3 linked regions of the Solanum lycopersicum genome follow. The protein of the gene in region 1 binds, or shares a complex with, the protein of each later gene. Links are inferred from orthologs where the notes say so. Each region holds a gene or a part of one and is shown in the gene's direction. Other genes may lie near its edges. The genes, in order: cleavage and polyadenylation specificity factor subunit 2, cleavage and polyadenylation specificity factor subunit 3-I and cleavage and polyadenylation specificity factor subunit 1.

Region 1 (2,918 bases):
AAATTCTGGAAATGAGGGTTATAGTTGTGGAAGCAATGGTAATAGCGTCTGCAAGGGACTAATTGAATCCATTCTGTCCTCCATTTGAAAAAAAAGAAGTGATGCATCGAATTATGATAAGAGGATGTGACCTAGTGATCAATGAAATGGTTGAGAACCTTGAAGTCTCAGGTTCAAAACTCAACGAAGAAAAAAAACATAAGGTGAATCTTCCAATTTGTCCTAGCCTGGTGGACGGAGTTACCTGGTGGTACTATGGGAGGTGGTAAGTATCCCGTGGAGTTAGTTGAGGTGCGCGAAATCTGGCCCGGGCACCACGGTTATCAAAAAACTAAAATGATAGAGGGTCTAGTATTAGCTGATTAGTATGTTGTTCAGTGTTCACAATGCTCAATACAGTAATGACTTTGTATCCTTTAATAACAAGGATTAGTTAGTTCATGTTGACTACAACTTCTCCTGGTTCACTTTTTTCTTAATTGAAGTTGGTATTTTTTTATTAGTAGTTTAAATAGCAGATAGATGGTCATTTTTGGATACTAATGTTTATATCTTTCTGCTTTTGACACCTATATAATATTCATTACCTGAACTTTCTGCCTGTTTTCCTATCAGTTAGTCTATCCGTGTCCTACTTTTCTTCTTCAACAGTGAAACAATTAGTTCTTTCAACTTCAACTAGTTGACTTGTTTTAATAGCTATTCTGTTTTATAGGTATTGGTGCATGGATCAGCTGAAGCCACTGAACATTTGAAGCAACATTGTCTGAAACATGTTTGTCCACAGGTCTATGCTCCACAGTTGGAAGAAACAATTGATGTAACTTCAGATTTGTGTGCTTATAAGGTTAGTCTACTTTCTTTGTATGTGCCTTTTGTGGTTTATACCTGTTTAAACAAAATACTAGTATAACATCCTTGGTCTATGTTTGCTTCCATGATAGGTCCAACTTTCTGAGAAGTTAATGAGCCAAGTGCTTTTTAAGAAGGTAAGCTGGATATATTATGTATGACATCAATAAATGATTCCTTTACGAAATTTCTGCCACTTTAGGCTCTTGATGCATTTATAGAAGCAGCTGAAGTTAGTAATTTATGCACATCTAATTAAAACAAAAAGTTACCTAAGCACACTTGTGTCAATCACCCTTCATGTGTTGTATAAATGGATTGATGGAGTTTTTATCAAGGTACTCTTTGTTAAATGTTTTGTACATTTGCAGTTCAGTAGCTATCTTTTTGTCCTTGAATGTTGAGGCTCTGTACACTCCACACACTACAATGGGTTAGACATTTCAAGTGTTTGTACTAAAGTCTTCGGTGTGTAAGACTTTATGCTCCATTTGATCAGGAAGCTGCATACAAAGACTAATCTTGATCATTATTGTGTCTGTGTTTTCCCTTTGTCCTTGCTTAATTGTGTTCACATTTGCTATTGTAGCTTGGAGACTATGAAATAGCATGGGTTGATGCTGAAGTGGGGAAGACGGAAAACGACATGTTCTCTTTACTTCCTCTTTCCGGACCTTCTCCACCCCATAAAACAGTTCTTGTTGGAGATTTAAAAATGTCTGATTTCAAGCAGTTTCTTGCAAGCAAGGGCGTTCAGGTCTTTTCTCTTTTCTTTTATGTTATATTTTCTACTACTAATCATGATTTGGCTTTAGGTTAGCAAAATGTTGAGACCAGCTATTTTCATTTTCAGGTAGAATTTGGTGGTGGGGCTTTACGTTGTGGGGAGTATGTCACCATTCGCAAAGTTGGAGATGCTAGTCAAAAGGTGACCGCTTTTGATAATATCATCCAAGTGTTCTTCATATTATTAGCAAAATGAAGCCTTTTTCTTGGCATACTAAACTTCTGTTTGAAAATTTCTTGTAGGTTGGAGGTGCAGCTATTCAGCAGATTGTGCTTGAAGGTCCATTATCGGAAGAGTACTATAAAATTCGAGAGTACCTATATTCACATTTTTACTCCCTCTAAATATGAAGAGCAGAGTAACTTTTTGTACTTGTAACAAATGCAGCTTTCCTTTTTGTCTCTTTTTTCTCTTCTCTTGAATCTTGACTGGCTGTTTTTCTAGTAATTTGTAACTTATTGTCTCATTGGTTTCGAAAAGGTCACAATTGTTAGAATTTCCTGCAGGCTATGTAGGCTGTTGTATTTATGCTAGTGGAAGTTGATGAAAATTTAGAATTACTCTTTTGCAATTAAAGTACCCCGAGTTGAGGTTAGAATTGAAAAACACAACTAAATTTAGAAATTTTGACCATACAAAACTTGCATCCCTAGTTGAATTATTTTGTTGAGAACTTTACTGTTTCTTTTATTTTTCGATAACAATTCCCATGCAACAGGTTTTTTAATTAGAGGATTGAATTTGGGCCCATAGACCCTCCAATCGGTAGTGAGCAGGGCATTTGTGACAACGATATACGAGGGCATTGCTTGAGGCAATCTATTATCGTGCATGTGGGACGACATGTGCTATCTGGTGTGCTAGCAGGACAAGGTGGAGTAGAGGCAATCCAGAGGGCTACTTGAGCCACTACATGTAGCAGAGCACCAATGGGAGAGTGTGGCCATGGACTATATCACTTCCTTACCTAAGTCTGACGGGTATGGAACAATAATGGTTGTGGTGAACATATTTTCGAAATGTGCTACTTTTATGCCTGCAATAGTCGGTTGCTTCAAGAACGTGGTTAAGTATTGGGGGCTATCAAGAAATATCATCATCAGGGATCAAGACTGGAAACTTTTGGAGGGAGCTATTTGAGATACTTCGTACGGAGCTTCACTTCTCCAGAAGTTTTCATCCGCAAATAGACGGCCAGACCGAGTGTGTCAATACCTTAGTAAGTGCTATCTACGTAAGTGCGCACCAGAAGGACTCGCCCAGATTACTAGACGGCGTA
Region 2 (3,135 bases), on another chromosome or scaffold:
AGTTTATTATCTATTTTATGTGGTTCTGATTTTGAGCAACTTACTTGTGCACCCGTTAGTTGTCTCTGCAGTGGCCATCGAGTCCCTTGTCACGTGTTATAACTGTTGACCGTTCATTGATTGTTTCTTTTTTATTCTTATTTTATTGGTTTCTGTTCCTGTTTATCTTACTTGGCTACTCACTTTAACTTGTTCTAATGCTTTGCAGTTTTCACTTGGATCATGCTGCATCCCTTCCTTATTTTCTTGAAAAGGTTTATTCAGGGGTTCATGGTCTTTTTATTCTGTACATTTAGTACTTATTTGCTGGTTCATATGGGTTCTTTTTATGTTCAGACTACATTTAAGGGGCGTGTTTTCATGACACATGCCACAAAGGCAATATACAAGTTGCTTTTGTCAGATTATGTTAAAGTTAGCAAAGTCTCTGTTGAAGATATGTTGTTTGATGAACATGACATTCTTCACTCCATGGAAAAAATTGAGGTTTGTTTTCAACATCCCATGCTTAATCTTCACGCAGTTGTATGATTAGTCATTCGGATTATAGATTCATACTCTTGTGAGGTCTTGGTTTGAAAACAGGTTCTACACTGAACAACGTATTTTCACTCCATTACTAGTCTGTGTTGTACATCTGGTCCACATGTAGACCTCTTGGAAGTTCTTCTGTCTTGGATAACACTGTGGATATCTAGCCTTCTATTTATAAGCTTTTTGGAAGAAAAAACCCTTTTCTGTATAGGATTTTTTCAAGTCCTGCATAAGGTTTTATCCCTTGAATAATGGTTAATATTTAATAAGGTATAATTGTTGGTGTGTTTATATTGCCCAATTAATGTTTAGAGAAATATAGAAGATAAGAAAGATGTGGTTTTCTGCATATTTTTCATAATATTTGCAGATTCCCCTCATGTTTGCACATTGGATATGGCTTTCGACAACAAAAAAAAAACTTGTAATCAGGACTTTTGGAGGTTGCTTGGTCTAAGATTATGATATATGAGAGTACATGCTATCGAATTTCTAGGGTTGAATCATCATATTGTTTGATTTTCTATATTGATAGTAAATTGTAGCATTGTTGAACTAGTGTTTTGACAGACAGTGAGTTGTTGGCAAAGGTGATTATGATTGAAATTAGATAGGGCCTAGGGGTGGATTATCATATTGTTAGATTTGCTATTTTGATTGTAAATTTTAGCATTATTGAAATAGTGATATGACAGACAATGAGTTGTTGGCAGGGTGATCGTGATTAGATATTTTGATTGATCCATCAGATAAGAATGTCTCAATATTGATGGTTCAATTAAATATTCAGAATGACTGTTTAATAACTAGAACCTCTCAGTAATTATCACTAATTTTATTGGTCAGGCTTCTCTATAAAGAGCAGGCTTCTCTATAAAGAGCTTCCCTATGTGTACTTCTTTTCATTTAGGTTAAGCCGTTAAGCTCATTTAGTGTTAGCAGTATTTAGGGCATTCGGGTCTTTTCAACAGAAGAGGTGTTTATCTACACCTTTTTTACCATACACACCCGTATTTTCAGCTGCAGCACTTCTATCCAAACATGTAATTGGTTATTTGAAATTTCAGCTGCAGCATTAAAAGAAGTGTTTTTCAACACTTTGGTACTAAAGCTACTTAAAATCCGCTAAGCCAAACGGGCTCTAAGTCTAAATAGAACCAATAAAAATTTAATTTGATTTGTATTTCTTTTCCTGATTAGAACTAATTTGCTAAAGTAATAGATTGTGGTGGCCTGGAGAGTGAGGGGGTGTAGTGAAGGGAAGGGACGGTGGGGTGATAGTGAAACTAATTTGGTGGTGTGGTGGGAGCACGAACCCTAAAAAGAGTTTCCTTGGCCTACTGCCTACAAGCTGGATATGAAAGCAACTCAAATATATTATTTCTTCACCTGGATATTTGAATTCTGACTCTATTATTTGATCTCCTTGGACCATAATATGGTTGTGCTGCAGAAAATTTAATTCTATTGGACATTTTTGGCTTTCCCTTGTTTGCTGTCCTGAATGAGTGTTATGTGTAGCTTACACTAAATGGTCTTTTAGAGAAGCTATTGAAGTTTGACTGTGCTTTTCATTTAGCTGAAGGAGTCTTAGATCGTGCTTTGAATATGCTATTTGGATATAAGAAACATTATTCTTACTGAAACAAGAGGGATGGATCGGGCTTTGGATATGCTTTTGTATACCTCATGGAACATCTGCAACCTTGGAGAAATACATGTTTTATGAATGTCAGAGAGTATACACAGTGATGCACCTGCATCGTTAGCCTTGAACTACTCTTTTCTTACTATTTCCTGCTAAACAAAATTCTTCTTTTCCATCCTCAAAAAAGAATGAAGTTGAACCTTTTTCATTCTTTTGGAATTGTTATTGACCAGTTTGTTGTTGTTGAGCTCATTAGAACTATTGGCTTAGGTGCACCCGGGGCTTTGGTCTAGTGGTAAGAGCATAGCACGTGACGTGAATTAGGCACACATCATGGTTTCGAACATTACTGCAGAAAAAAGCCCAGTATATTAAGTGGAGAAGGATAGAGCGGCAGACCCATTACCCACCTAGTTCCAAACCTTGCTTCATGTCCTCAGGGAGTTCTCGATTATCACAAATAAGGAAGGAAAAAAAAGAACTGTTGTCTTAGGTTCTGTGAGTATGCTTATGTAGTTACATGATCTTCTTAGTTTATTTATGAGAGGAGAAACTAGAAAAGGGTGTTTGTGTCATAACCATGCAGCTATTTCTTGAATCGGTGTATTAGAACTCCTTACCCATTTGACCTTATCACAGAAACTACCAAGTCATTACTCTCATACTTCCATCATATTAGCTCTGATGTTTATTTTCTTGGAAATTTGAATTTTTTAGTCATGGTAATATTGTCTATGTCCTCCCATTAATAACCTTGTGGAATGATGGTATCTTTGCCAATTTGACTCCTTTTGTCTTTTATTAATAGTCAAAGATGCTTTTCAGATATTGAGGTAGAAGTGAAGTGCTATGGAGAATGATTTCTTCTAACAAGATTACAGAACGATAAAAATAGCAGACCTTTCTATTTGTTTACCAATGTACTAATGCCATGACCCTAGAAATGCTGTTGC
Region 3 (3,660 bases), about 1.2 Mb from region 1:
CAACATTTTTGTTCTCTTCTGTAGTAGAATGATATCTCTTGGTTGTGAAAATATACTTTGTTAGTGCCTCCAGAGCTTGTCTAGTTGTAAGAGTGTAGCTTGTGATGTGCATGCCACAAGAGTCTCAACCTTACTGTGAACCAAAAACATGGTATTTAAGTGGAAGAGGGTAGAGGGGTGGACCCAATATCCTCCAAATTTTGGATTGTGTGCCAGCTGGTCATCAGGGATATCTTGGTTACAATATTTTTTTTATTGTTGTTGTCACAATGGAAATTGATATTGTTGAACTCTATTTGACGAGAAAAAATTAATTGACTTCTATTTTTTTTTTCTTGACAAAAGGTAACAGAATTGACCTCTATTTCTTTCATAATCTTAATCATTTCCTATCTAATTATTTTACTGGCCTAATGCATAGGCAGCCCCTAAACTTGGCAGGATATTTCAGTTAGAGACCTCAACTAAAGACTCGACCTATTTAATACCTGAATAATACTGAAAATGTTCCGATTGAACACATATTTTCTTATTCTAGACAACATAAAATGCATGAATGCAACTCGCTATGGCAGAAGCAACCAATAATACAAAAGCAGGTTAGCAAAGGGAAAAAAGTCAAGATCTGAAAAGAAAAAAAAGAAAGAAAATGAGTTGAGTGAATGAAGCTCCGGTGCTCTCCCTTTCTGACAAAGTCACAAATCTGTTGAGTTCAAAGGAATGTTTAAAGATTTTTTTGACAGCTTAGACAGCAGCTACCAATTGTCGGATAAAACTCTGTTTAAATTCAGCCATTTTGAACCATGGGATGGTCTTCAAAACTCAAAAATCTTCTCTGTTGACAAGTTGCTTGTTGGAAAAACTGGTACTTTCGGCTATTTTGGAAACCTGGAAGTGATGGAATCTACTACGTCAAATCTGCATACAACTACCAGAATAGGGAAAATGCACATTTGACCCGTCGCCATGGAAGTTCATCTGGAAGACCAAGGCCCCTTACAAAGTCTGCTGTTTTTCTTGGCTTGTAGCAAGAAAAGCATGTCTCACTCAGGAAACTTCAAGAAGGGGATTTCATCTATACTCTGGATGTCGCATGTGTGGTGAAGCCAGAGAAAATAATAGTCGTCCATTTCTACATTGACCTAACTCCTCTAGATGGACAATCGTGGCAACTTTTTTTGAACTTGGTAGGACTAAGATGGTCTATGCTAGCAACAAGCTGTGATATATTGAAGTGCTGGAACTATGATGGTAGTGCAGTGTGACAAAAGAAGTGGTGGAAACTTGTCCCAACTTGTATACGGTGGACAATTTGGAAGGAGAGGAGATATAGAATTTTGAAAGACTAAAACAGTTCTGTGCAGAGAGTCAAGATGAATGGTATTTTTTTTGTTTCATTTTTGGTGGAAAGAAACTATGTAGAGAGGTTCAAAACTCAGCGGAGACAAAAAACAGTAGGTGATTCTTCCGATATATTCTAGCCTTGGTGGACATAGTTACCTTGTACCTGGTGGGAGATGACAAATATCCTGTTGAATTAGTTGAGGTGCGGACACCATAGTCATAAAAAAACTATGTAGAGGAGACTGAATCAATAGTTGTCATGATAAGTTCCTTCTGAAAGGGTAGTCTTAAGCAAGCTTGGGTTTTTGTAATTGTAAGAAGCACTTTTATGGTGCATATCTAGTATGTATTTATATACACAGGGTCACACACATGTTACAAGTTTCAAAAAAATGCAACTCAAGCTCTTCCATTTGGTAACCCTCCCACAAAACTTAATGTGTTTTTACCATGGAACTTTTTGAATCTTGAAAATCCTTTTTCTCAGCAAGCTTCGATCGGATGATATGTCCATTCCTGTCCTGCTGAGAAATCACCTATTAGCCATCTTCTTTCGTACTCTCTTAACAACCCTCACCCATACAGGAAAATCATGTCTGTCCCAGCATGTATCTGGTGGACAATCTGGAGAGAGAGAAACAATAGATGTTTTGAGAGCAAAAGTTGTGATCTTCAGAAGATCAAATTGAACCGTATCAAACTTTCTTGTTTCTGGTGCAAACAGATGTACCTAGACGACACTGGGTCAATTATTGAGATCCTTGGCTCTATTTAGATTTTAGATTCAGATATCCTGTTTTATTGAGAAGTTGTAATTATGGTTTTTAGTACAACCTACTTAGAATAGGAACAGGTATAGAAATAGTATATAGAATCCTACTTGGAAAAGGATTATAATGTAGTGTCCTAGTTAGAAAATGAGTCTAATGTAGATAGGGTCTCAATGTAATAATGTAGACGCACAATTCAATAATATTCTTCTCCTATATGTCTCACATCCACCATCTGCAGTTACCACTGTTGCCAGTTTGAACTTTGACATGTGCCTTTATGCAGGTTATATTGAGCCTGTAATGGTTATCCTTCATGAAAGGGAACTCACTTGGTCTGGGCGCGTCTCTTGGAAACACCATACTTGTATGGTCTCTGCCTTTAGTATTAGTACAACGTTGAAGCAGCATCCACTGATATGGTCAGCCACTGTAAGTTACAATGATCTTTGTTGCCAGCATTATTTATATATATTCTTATTAGCTTGAAGGAGAGAGAGAGAAGAGGCAACAAAGAAAGGAGATCACTCCAGTAAGAGCTATTTCTTGATGATGACTGTATCACAGTTCTTTCTATTTTGGGGTTTGGTTTGGTGAGGGAAATAAGGTCAAGAATGCTGCTTAAGTTAAGAAGTTCTATCCTTCCGTTTCATTGAGGTATCACTGTAATTACACTTGATGACAACCTTTAGCTGATGAGCTCATATACTAATTCTGGTCTTGTTTGTCTTCCTTCTTTATTGTGTTTTCTTTTTTGTCAGTCAAATTACAATTATTTCCCTCAAAATATTTTCCTCATATCAACAACCTAATAGAAGAGCTTTTGAAGGTATAGAGATGGACTTTCTAAAATTGAGCAGTAGTCTCTTATCCCTAATTTCTTTTTGGTGCATCCGTGGAGTACCAGTTTGTGTAGAAGATTGGTGAAGTTTGTAGAAAACCATTTTGTTTTGTAGTTTTCTACATTTTGGAATACCTTTGGTATACATGCTTTTTTTTTCCACCCAAATGTTAATACAACTTGTTACCTTGTCAAAAAACAAAAGAAAACAACCTAAACCCGGAGTAACTTTGTTGTTGCCACTGATTAGTCATTTCCTGTGGGGCAAATATTTCTCATCTTTTGTTTCCTGCAGTACAAACCACATTACTTAACAAAAGAACCAAGAATTTATTTTATTTTGATTTGTTTGCTTTTTTTTGTTAAGTCTGTTAAACAGTAATTTTGAGCTTAAGGTTCTATAGTGTGGAGCACAAGATGTTTCAAGCATGGCCTCGGTAATGAAAATGTGATTCCAACTTATCACGAGAGAGTTGATTTGGTGGACAGCGGGTACTAAAAGGCTGATGATTCAAATATATATCATGAAATTTCAATAAAAAAATTTGACGAGAATAATGCAAAAGTACTTTACCTCTTTAAAGGGGTCGTTTGTATGCGGGATAGGATAAGCTAGGATACCCCATGTGATTATTTTATCCCACCGTCTATATGGGATAGCAATCCCATCATTTTAGAAAAAAGGGGGGTTACCATATGGGATTA

The links.
Region 2: cleavage and polyadenylation specificity factor subunit 2 (region 1) and cleavage and polyadenylation specificity factor subunit 3-I share a complex: the UniProt entries of both Arabidopsis thaliana proteins name them as parts of the CPSF complex. The link is inferred for Solanum lycopersicum from reciprocal best matches to the Arabidopsis thaliana genes CPSF100 and CPSF73-I.
Region 3: cleavage and polyadenylation specificity factor subunit 2 (region 1) and cleavage and polyadenylation specificity factor subunit 1 share a complex: the UniProt entries of both Arabidopsis thaliana proteins name them as parts of the CPSF complex. The link is inferred for Solanum lycopersicum from reciprocal best matches to the Arabidopsis thaliana genes CPSF100 and CPSF160.

The regions. Positions count from the first base shown.
Region 1 is NC_090802.1:3,726,694-3,729,611, reverse strand, and holds the end of cleavage and polyadenylation specificity factor subunit 2, read left to right. Parts: intron 1-715; coding exon 716-847; intron 848-944; coding exon 945-989; intron 990-1,441; coding exon 1,442-1,609; intron 1,610-1,705; coding exon 1,706-1,780; intron 1,781-1,881; coding exon 1,882-1,983; 3' UTR 1,984-2,279; downstream 2,280-2,918. UniProt on the Arabidopsis thaliana protein: CPSF plays a key role in pre-mRNA 3'-end formation, recognizing the AAUAAA signal sequence and interacting with poly(A)polymerase and other factors to bring about cleavage and poly(A) addition. Required for antisense-RNA-mediated gene silencing.
Region 2 is NC_090806.1:62,064,559-62,067,693, forward strand, and holds part of cleavage and polyadenylation specificity factor subunit 3-I, read left to right. Parts: intron 1-208; coding exon 209-254; intron 255-336; coding exon 337-486; intron 487-3,135. UniProt on the Arabidopsis thaliana protein: Component of the cleavage and polyadenylation specificity factor (CPSF) complex that play a key role in pre-mRNA 3'-end formation, recognizing the AAUAAA signal sequence and interacting with poly(A) polymerase and other factors to bring about cleavage and poly(A) addition.
Region 3 is NC_090802.1:2,563,864-2,567,523, reverse strand, and holds part of cleavage and polyadenylation specificity factor subunit 1, read left to right. Parts: intron 1-2,400; coding exon 2,401-2,546; intron 2,547-3,660. UniProt on the Arabidopsis thaliana protein: CPSF plays a key role in pre-mRNA 3'-end formation, recognizing the AAUAAA signal sequence and interacting with poly(A)polymerase and other factors to bring about cleavage and poly(A) addition.